2 linked regions of the Schizosaccharomyces pombe genome follow. Changing the gene in region 2 together with the main gene of any one other region gives a genetic interaction. Each region holds a gene or a part of one and is shown on either strand. Other genes may lie near its edges.

Evidence for each region. Genes that interact genetically often act in the same process or in processes that back each other up.
Region 1: of srp2 (region 2) and cwf16, changing one suppresses a phenotype caused by changing the other (phenotypic suppression), as found in Schizosaccharomyces pombe (one study listed by BioGRID).

What each region holds. Positions count from the first base shown.
Region 1 is NC_003424.3:1,487,333-1,492,296, reverse strand, and holds cwf16 (splicing factor), read left to right. Parts: upstream 1-2,541; 5' UTR 2,542-2,714; coding exon 2,715-3,527; 3' UTR 3,528-3,687; downstream 3,688-4,964. Other genes in the region: gpp74 (golgi phosphoprotein 3), read left to right, coding at 543-1,556; F1-ATPase chaperone Atp12, read left to right, coding at 4,242-4,964.
Region 2 is NC_003424.3:4,423,633-4,429,391, forward strand, and holds srp2 (guard protein for 5'-capping of pre-mRNAs Srp2/Npl3), read right to left. Parts: upstream 3,361-5,759; 5' UTR 3,334-3,360; coding exon 3,291-3,333; exon of another isoform or gene 3,247-3,290; coding exon 3,161-3,246; exon of another isoform or gene 3,105-3,160; coding exon 3,068-3,104; exon of another isoform or gene 3,028-3,067; coding exon 3,022-3,027; exon of another isoform or gene 2,970-3,021; coding exon 2,945-2,969; exon of another isoform or gene 2,896-2,944; coding exon 2,827-2,895; exon of another isoform or gene 2,637-2,826; coding exon 2,567-2,636; exon of another isoform or gene 2,479-2,566; coding exon 2,405-2,478; exon of another isoform or gene 2,361-2,404; coding exon 2,261-2,360; exon of another isoform or gene 2,206-2,260; coding exon 1,618-2,205; 3' UTR 1,016-1,617; downstream 1-1,015. Other genes in the region: Rho family GTPase Rho2, read left to right, coding at 1-12, 61-153, 198-332, 380-544; dihydroorotase Ura2, read right to left, coding at 4,083-4,979, 5,057-5,173. UniProt on the Schizosaccharomyces pombe protein: Has a role in pre-mRNA splicing where it is involved in spliceosome assembly.

The DNA of each region.
Region 1 (4,964 bases), 2.9 Mb from region 2:
TTATTTTTTTTACAATAAGAATTCTTCTCGTATCTTTTTATTTTTTAAGTAAAGTCCAAAATTCTCGATTTTTGGGTTGCCGTATGCTAAGGATCAATTTATAAGCTGTAGGTTACGGGAGCATCTGTTAAGCCACCGTAATTCTGCTACCACTTACGGGCAGAACTGCGCGAACATACAATCCTCAAATATCAAGTATTTATTAATTCTTTGTTGTCTTCCAAAGTTCTTTGGTGGAAATATTCCCAGTATCTTCAAAAAATTCGGTATTTAGTTGGGTACTTCTGGTTCAACCTACCAATTTATAATAATTTGCATCCCAACGAAAAGTTGGATTAATTGGCCGTCAAGGTTCTGAGGAAACAAAAGCAAAAGGTATTTTTAATCAAAAGTTTTCCCATTTGTTTGAACGTTTCTTTCTTTAGCGAAACTCCTGTATTGCATACTTTTGCTTTCAACGTTTTGCATATCTCTCTCATCTTCTTGATTATTTGATATAGACAACAAGAAATTTCTTGTATTTAGGCATAAAATTCAAAGAAATGTCAGGTGGACTTTCCCGAAGGAGGGTTGCTGCCGCAAGTTCGGACGAAGAACGTCCAGAGATGAGGAGCGTCTCTCATTCCAAAAGTCATCTTGAGGGATACGATGATGATCATAAAATCGCTTTTGATCCAAAGGATTTGGAACAAGGCGCGGAAAGGGAAAAGCAACCCAGGCTTACACTGATGGAGGAGGTATTGTTATTGGGTCTAAAAGACAAGCAAGGTTATCTTTCTTTTTGGAATGACAGCATTTCTTATTCTCTTCGGGGATGTATTCTAATGGAGCTCGCATTTCGTGGAAAGTTGCGTATGCAAAAAGACGTTAATCGTAAACGCTTTCCGTTAGCGGATCGTGTAGTGGAGTTGGTTGATGAAAAACTTACAGGTGAGGTTCTTTTAGACGAAGCTATTAAAATGATACATACTAGCGAACTCATGTCTGTAACCTCTTGGATTGATTTGATGAGTGGTGAAACGTGGAATGTGATGAAGATTGGATATCAATTAAGACAAGTACGCGAACGGTTGGCAAAGGGCCTTGTTGACAAAGGGATTTTAAGAAATGAGAAGAAGAATTTCTTACTTTTCGACATGCCAACTCATCCCATTGCCGATACCTCCATTAAAGATTCCATTAAAAAAAGAGTGGTCTCTGTTCTTACTTCACGAGTAATTGAAATTGATAATTCACCTTCTTTCCCAGAATATTTGTCTTTTCGTTGCCTTCGCACTGTTGCCCTTGCTTGTTCCTCATACGCTGCTAATGTTCTTGAAAACGCTCTTGACAATTTAAACTATGAAGATCGTGAAAAAGCATTTTCTCGCGTAGACGAGCTTCTCTGTGACTTTTCGCAATGGCCTTTTGATCTTCATGCTTCTTCGTCAGTTGGCGCTAACTTGCCTGAGCTAATTTCCGAAGAACTTTCCTCTGTGAAGGAAGAGCAACTACTTTTCATTGAGGTAGTCGCTGCTGTTCTTCAAGTTTTCACTCATTTAGATTCTTTACTTTGATAGCCAAGCATATCACTCGTTGGTGTTGTTTGAGTTATGTTATTTCCAACTCAGACTAATGAACAAACGTATACCGACTTCTATATCGCTAATGTCGGCTTAATTTGTTTGTTTTTAATTGGAGTATTATTTTAAAAGAAGTCAATTCAATCAAATTGTTCGTTGTTGTAAGAATAGTACTTTGAACAATCGGTGCTTCATTATCTAGTTGAATTTTCATTAAATTGGTGGTACCATTTCCACATATACTCTCTCCAGTTGAACACTTTATCTCGATATGGAGGCAATCCCATTTCGATATTGTCTGCTAAAAAAGATTTGTTCAGAATATCCCGGGTCAGCTTTCATTCTTTTCAGTTGCGGACATCGTTAGCTATTTTCTTCTCGTTTTAATGATTTACATACGTACATATAAGTCAGTCTTTCTTTTCACAAAGCTTTAGTTATTAAACTAACGAAAAATGACAATTGTGTAATTACTATACAGTTATCTTTTAAACCATTTTAAACTTGGGTTCTTCCACAAGCTTTACTTAAATGAACATATGATAAATTAATATAGCAGGTGTTTTCTTATGATCATTGCTATCAACTTTACTAAGACGAACATAAGCTGAAATACAGCGATTTTTAACCAAGTTCATATAAATCATCTATTCCTGCCATTAATGCCAACAACCCCATTAATTGTCTATTGCTGTAAGCGTAAAGTACTATGGAGACTGATCAGTCAAAATTAATCAGAAGCATTTAAATAATACACAATTTATAAGGGAATCTAAAGTACTCTTAAAACACCGGAAGGTGTAAGATTGACAAACAACGCTTGCTCACGTCTCGATAGCTCAGCTCAGGTATTGTATAAGGAAATATAAGGATGGTACTAAATATGTTTACGTAGTGCTATGTGCGCATTCAATTTATTACCGCGACGTATCGAGTGTCAAAGAACTACAGATAGTACTAGTACTTTTGCCATTCGCTTACAAAAAGCGCATATCCACATAAAACTAGCATTTTCAAATTCATCTGTAAAGTCAAATAATTCCAACCCAAAAGGACGGTTAAATTTTCCTTACTTTAATTTATTCTTTTTTTTTGAATTTGGTAAAGCAATTCTCGTACGTTCATTTCATTTTTTTTTCATAGTTTCCAACAATGTCTGAACGAAAGGTACTTAACAAGTATATCCCGCCCGATTATGATCCTTCCATTCGTCCTCCTAAGAAAAAGAAAAAGTTTCAAGGACCAAATGGTGGGAAATTGACTGTTCGTTTGATGACTCCATTTTCAATGCGCTGTCATACTTGTGGAGAGTATATATATAAAGGAAAAAAGTTTAACGCTAGGAAGGAGAAAACCGGCGAAAAATATTTTTCAATTGATATATTGAGGTTTTATATTCGCTGCACTAGGTGTGCTGCTGAAATAACATTTATAACCGATCCAAAACATGCAGATTATGCAGCAGAGAGTGGAGCTTCCAGGAATTATGAGCCGTGGCATGAAAAAAGATTACAAGAATATGAAGAAAATGAGTTAGCTGAACGCAATGACATTCCTGAGGAGGACGAAATGGAAAAATTAGAACAAAAAACATTAGACACTAAACGACAAATGCAAATTAGTGATGCACTCGACGAACTACGTGAAAAGAGCGCTCGAAGGTCTCGAGTTAACATTGATGATGCAATCGCTCTCTTAAAGGAAGATGCATATGGATCAATTGAAGAAGAGGAGTCCAAAAAGCGGAAATTTGAGGAAGAAGAAATTGATCGTGAAGCTAAATCGTTGTTTTCGTCTCAGGATGGTGAAATTATAAGAAGATTGAATGCAGAAACAACGGTTGAAAAAGAATTACCCAAACCTATAGATTTGGTTTCTGAGAAGCTGGCCACTTCCAATATACCGAATTTTCAGCCTCCAAAATATGCAAAAAGGAAAATGGAGAAGAAAAAGGTTTTGGTATAACGTCTATAAATGGCTAAATTTTTTAATTACTTGCATTTTTTATAGCTAAGCTATTAAAAATGTACATGTTCTTTTGTACCAGCGCAAGGTTTTTATTGTAATAATATTTAATGAGTTTTTGATGGATTTTCATAACGCGAGTTGATAGTCAATATCCTGTTCTAATTTTTATTATTCGATTAGTAAATGTAGTTTGTTATGTAGAATAATACCGTAGCATTTATAGAAAGGTTTTATTTTGTTTGTATCTATTCTTCAACTTTAAGTTTTTAACAGCACATGTTAATTGATTTTTTTTAAGGTTCCTTCTAATTTTCCGAGTATCTAATTGTAATTTATCAATTTACATTTACGGTTTGTCAAAAAGTAGTCTTAATCGTAGCTAAATTCAAGGCGGCTAACGTAAACAACGGTTTAGGAACTATGATAGGAACGTCTATTAATTTATTTTAAAAGAGTTTTTTCTTGCTTAATTAAAAACTACTTTTAGAAAAAAATATTAAAACTTATTCTCATCATGCCTGTGACAAAATATTGTTAGACTCATCTTACATAGTAACCAATATTTTGGAGAACACCAACTAAAAACGTATATCATAATAATTAACTCTTAAACAATAATTAAAAATTAAATTTTGGCAGTTTGAAGTACGAAAGATTTTTTAGTGTCTCAGATAGACACCTTGAATACCCTTTTTTTTCTATTTTTGTAAGATGCTTCGATCTTTACAATTTTACAGATTATCCAGCAAAAACTTGCTGTCATTTAAAACGTGCTATTCGTTTTACTCTACAAAAGCTTCCTCTCCTTTGCCGCAACCATCATTCAGGAGATTTTGGAAGAATACAGCTACCAAAATCCAAAATGGAGAAGTCTTGATTCAATTAGATGGACGAAATTTAAAATCACCTTCTGGGAAGATTGTTAAGGTACCTAAAGAAATGGAGTTACTAGCACACTTGATTGCCCTAGAATGGGATCGATTACCATCAACCTCTGTTCGACAACACAATCTCCCAATTACTTCCCTAGTTTCGAGAGCTATTGACATATCACAATTCAAAAAAGAAGAAAAGGAACTACTTTCTACTCAATTAATTCGTTTCCTTGACACCGACACAATTCTAATTTACTCCCCCGAAACAGAATATGAAGGGAAATTGTTGGAGGAGCAAAAGGAAAATTGGTGGCCACTGAAAGAAACCTTTGAAAACAAACTTGGTGTGCAATTAAGCTATTTGGATGGTGATGCTGGTATTATTGCCCATAAACAAACGCAGGAAACACACGAACGCATAAGAAACTGGCTCAGCTCGCTGAACTCTTGGCAACTAGCAGCTTTTGAAAGATCTGTTAGTTGCTGCAAGAGCTTCATAGTTTCTTTCATGATTTTAAAAGGATATTTGAACTCTGAAAAAGCTGCCGCTTTGACGAAC
Region 2 (5,759 bases):
GAGGAATATGAGGTTTGTTTCGTTATTAATAGTGAGAAATACGTCGTTAACCCAATGCAGAGATTAAGACCAATGTCTTACGCTAAAGCACACATTATTTTGGTTGGGTTTGCGATAGACTCTCCTGATTCACTTGAAAATGTTTCTACGAAGGTTCGTTTCATTAATTGTTTTTTCCAGTCATTAACATTATATAGTGGATTGAGGAAATTAATACACTTTGCCCAAATGTTCCGTTTATTTTAGTGGGCATGAAAGCCGACTTAAGGTCAGATCCCGTTGCTATTGAAGAAATGCGACGTCGAAATCAAAATTTTGTAAAATCACAACAGGTATATATTAATAATTCAAACACGTGAATACTAATTCTTGATATCAGGCTGAATTAGTAGCTCAGCGGATTGGTGCGAGAAAGTATATGGAATGTTCTTCATTGACTGGTGACGGCGTGGACGATGTATTTGAAGCTGCTACTAGGGCAGCACTAACAGTTCGGGATTCGGAAAATGACAAGAGTTCTACAAAATGCTGCATCATTTCATAATTACTAATATCCTAACGATTGCAAACATTCATGTTTCAGTTTATAGGAAAGCCTATCAGTTTATGCGACCTACATTTACAAAAAGCTGATAGACTTTTTTGCTTTTCTTCGCATTTGTTCTTTGCCGTTGTTTCATTTCGTTTTCACTTTCACTTCTGTCGTTTACTTTTTTCTTTTTCTCCCCTATACCTCAAATTTAGTTCCTATTTTATTTTGAGACTCAGGAGTATTATTATTATTTTCATCATTATAATCTTCACGCATCGGTCGAACGACACTAGCCTCCTTTTTCATTTCATTAAGCAAACCGCATTCAGTTATTATTACCTTTTTTTTTTACTCTTAAACATCTTTCATTCTTTTTCAGCATCTATTGTCCTCATGAAAACTACTTTTTGTTTAAAAGATCATAGGACTTTATTTTTAGAACTGCCGCTTGCGCTCATTATGAAGTACAAAATTCATATATGTACATATGCTTTTGTTCTCTTAGGCTAATAGAAAATGTCAGTTTTCCTTATTGATACATTTAATACGTAGGCTCACTTCGCTAAGTAATTTTATGGGGCGGTCAAATTCAAAATTCTGGCTCATTTAAGCTAAATATTAAGACACCGCCAAAGGTATACAACCATATCAAAATTTATCACCTACTAAAGTTTCGAGCCTATTTTTTTCTGGGCATTAATGGGTTGGAAATCAAGACTGGCAAGAGTTAAAGTGGTCACTCTCATCAAACAACTATGTGAAATTATATACCCTTTAAACACCCATACTCCAACAACTAACTTTTCTTCGGGCGTTCACTTCATTAAGAACAACAACCAAAAAAAAACAACCAAAATCCATCCAAATGATAAAGAATGACAAATACGCGGCAAAAATCCGGAACTACACTAAAAATTACACATTCCTTTCATTCTTGATCGTAAGAAAGGAAATCGCCAATAAAGAGAGATAAATTCATACTCAAATACATCACAGACAAAGGATATTAAGACCACAGACATATGACAGGAAAATCTAGTAAGCAGACACTAAAAAATAGTTTACCAAAGGAAAAATTTCTATGTTTACCATTCAGCAGCGACCTGTCCTTCAGCGCTACCGTTACCTACATCAGAATGGTTTTGCAAAGGCTGTTGTTCTTCCGAAGCAGCAGGTTTGTCATATGATTCAGTGGGAGCAGATGACTCCATTGATGCTTCAGGAGCAGCTGAATAGGATTTGGAACCTTCATAGGCAGGGGAGCGATTCTCTTCTCTATCACGTCTAGGAGAAGGACTACGGCTATAAGCGTCACGTCGATACTCATCATCATGGGAAGGGCGTCCATCATCACGAGAACGACGGTATTCGTCTCGTCCAGGGCGATATTCATCACCTCTAGGACGACGATACTCATCATCATGAGGACGACGATAATCACTTCTGGAATTACGTCTATACTCATCGCGACCACCACGACGGTATTCATCACGATTATTACGCCTGTATTCACCACGAGGAGCATAACGACGTTCATCATCTCTGCCGGGACGATAAGCGTCACGACGGTAATCGCCTCCTCTACGATAATCATCACGATAACGACGGCGAGCAGGTGGAGAACGTGAACGGAAGCGGGAGGGTACTTCGGGAAGGGGCTCATTAGCGGCATCCTGCTAATCGTTAGAAAATTTACGCAAGGATCTTTAAAAAAGATTAGATGCTTACAGGGTCTTCGCGTAAAGTAACTGCTTGGCCTTTAATGACTTCACCATTAAGGCTCGTCAAAGCGTTTCTCATATCCTCTTCAGTAGAAAATTCAACAACACTGCATTAAAGTTAGGTGAAAAAATGATCAAAGTAGAAACTTACCCAGCACCAGGGTTTTCACGGTGAGCATCTGTGAAAGTGGGTTCACCAGCTTTACGCATTACATCCTTCAGGTCCTATGAAAAGTGTTAACACTGAAATATAGATATATGAAAAAAATCATGCATTGACGCAAAGGTCATTAAATGTATAAAATTGTCTTACCTGCCAACTGACATCTTCTGAGAGATTTTCCACAATCAAACGGAAACCGGTGCGACGGGGACGGGGGTATCTGATACGTTAGTATAAAAATATTGCCGTAATTTTTATAGGACAATGCGATTTTGCAAGCGATAACACCGTATATAGTCACTACTCAGAGCTGATTCACATGTGAAGTGAACAAAATCGTTAGAACCAGCAATCGCGTGCAATGCCAAATCGCCCACTAATCACATATTAATGGAAACGTAACAACGTACTTAGAAGCAGCACTTTCTCTAAAGTTCTCTCTTCTTCTTCTTTCACCGCGAGCAGGTTCTACAACAATACTTCGAACATTAGCATATTTTAATCTAAATTCATAATGTATTGACTTACCGGCTGCCCATAAACTCTTTGCCCTCTTTTTTATAAGATTAGTAAATAAAGTCGAATATTAAACCTTTGAAGCATACGAAAGTCTAAACTGTTAGCAAAAGTTTTAAGATGGTATGAACGTACCATTTACGATATCACGAGCATCGCGAGCGTCTTCAACCTACATCAAGTTAGTCACATAGGGATTACAAAAAGAAGGCTAATGGTTTTATTTACCTCAACAAAGCCAAATCCATTCATCAGCTTGCAATCAAGGATTTGACCGTAACCTTTAAAAAAATCCATCATATCCTCGCGAGTCGCTAAATTTTTGTTAAAATACTATTTACATTATTTAGTTACAAACCTTGAGGAGGAATACGGCCAACAAACAATCTAGTCTCCGACATTTTTTTTTGGTGTAGTTGGTTCTTGCTGGGTGAAGTTCGACCCTCAGTCGGCAGTCTTGAGGCTGAAGGCCGGCGAAACCCAAGTTACAAAATATAAGATAATGAAATAAAATATAAAATCAAATTAAAAGAGATGGTGTTAATCAAACCTTGTCTAACGATTTTATGCATTCATCGGTCCACACTTTTTCCTAATATTGTATAAATGAAATCTGAGTAACTATCAACCATACTTCAGAGTGTCTATTGAAATGATTAAGAAGGTTAGATAATAATTAATTAATGGATCAAGATGGCGATGATAATTTCATCGACGGGATACTGTAAGTTTAATTAATCATGATTAAGGAGCTAGGATATCTAGTAGTCAAGATGCAACTTCAAGAAGTAACTGTTGTCTTTACAGTCATGTACGTAGGTTCTTATACGTATAATTTTCTTTTTCTATATTAATTATAAATAACTATAAAGTATTTTAGTAAACTTCAATGAATAATCCGAATTTGAGATAATGAAAACAAGTTTCTGCTCATTCACCAGTTCTCTATCTGGATGAAAAACTTTACGAAAATTTTGGAATTCTGAAAAGACTCTTGCCAGATGACACGCAATGTTTGCATTCGCCGACGCATAATGATTAACCCAATTAACTTCAAATGTTATTTAAAAATTCGTAAATCCAAAACATAAAAGCCGACAAGTTCAAAAAAATAGATAGAAAAAAAAACACATAATCAACATGTACTGAATTACTCCCATGAACAGTGCCATTGAAGAACTTCGTTTGGATGAAAAGGAACCAAATCATTGGCAACACTTTCAGGTACGCGAAACGACTCCTTTTTTAAGACGATATTAGACTCTTTGAAGTCTAAAGGAATACAATAAAATTTCCTACCAAAAATACATGCAAAATCCTTCAAAGCATCTAAACGACCCTCTTTATCAAACACTTCAGCTAAGTACGAAGCAGCGAAAGGTTGGGTAAAAACACCAGCTGCCGGTGGCGTCTTCAGTTTAGAAGACCTAGGATGAGGTGCAGAATCACTCCCAAAGAAAAACTTGGGATTTTTACTGGTAGCAGCTTCAATAAGAGCACGTCGGTCTCGTTCGGTTTTGGCTACCGGCTTGCAGAAACAATAAGGATCATCCTGCCAATCTTTTTGTGTGAGATAAAGATGATGGGCAGTTATAGTACCCGCAACACTTTCACCGCATGCTTTTACTGCCTCAACAGCGTCGGCAGTGGTGCAATGTTCAAGCACAATCTTGAGTTTTGGAAATCTTTGGTGAAGGTCTAGTAAAGTAGGAAGAAACTTGGGCTCAGCCGTAAAAACGGTGTTATCCTTAGAGGGGGGAACTTCTCCGTGAATGTTCAGAATCATACCTGTTTCTTGCATTGCAGCAAAGGTAGGATAAAAGGGTTCGTAGCTTTCAACACCACTTTCAGAATTGGTAGTAGCTCCTTTCGGATATGATTTAACTCCTCGAATTCCCTTTTTTGCAGCTTCGTAAATAACCTCAGGTGTAGTTTCCGGTGAGAGATAAAGACTCATTAAATAGGTGGTCTTGGAGTCAAGCTGCTCAATTTCTTTTTTATATTGCAAACAGGCATCAACGGTAGTAATTGGGGGGATTAAATTAGGCTGTTATACGCGTTAAAAAGTTAAACCTTTGTAACCTTCAAATAAATTTTTTGAATAGCACAATACTTATTACATACCATTACATACGCAACAGAGACTCCACCCTCTGCGACCGTTGGAACTACAGCTTTTAACATATTATCTTGCCTTAGATGAACATGCATATCAGCCAAACCAGGTATTTTCAAACTCATCTTGTATAGGTAGTGGGTATTGTCAAGTTGAGTAACTAGAAAGGTGCACTTTATACTTAGTGCTAAATTAAACCAAGAATAAACAATCTTAACAATTGGTAAAAAAATACTACTTAAAATTAGTATGTTTCTTTCAATATAAATTAGTGAGGGTAATATAATTACTTCAAAAAAATTTACTATACCGATAATTCTCCAACTAATTTCAAAGATTTAATTGATCGGAGTTAAACCAAATATTATTTCTTAATTCTTTTTATTAAAGTTCAGATGCCTAATTCTAAACATAAGAATTCACCAACAGCTTAATTATTAGACCACCGTCCTGACTCTTCGGAAGCATAGAGCTACTTGCTTAATCATTGAAGCTCCATTATTAGATCTACCTTAGTATAAAAGAAATCCGAAACGTGTAACTACTAGCATTTCCTGTTTATGTGTAAATATACAGGTACATAATATGAAGAATTATGGTCATCAGTACAAAGCAGTTTAAATTTAACTTAGTAATATCTTGGCATCTGAAGAATATACAACTCAATGAATAGCAGCATCTCAAAAGTGTGCATTCTAAACGTCTTTAAGA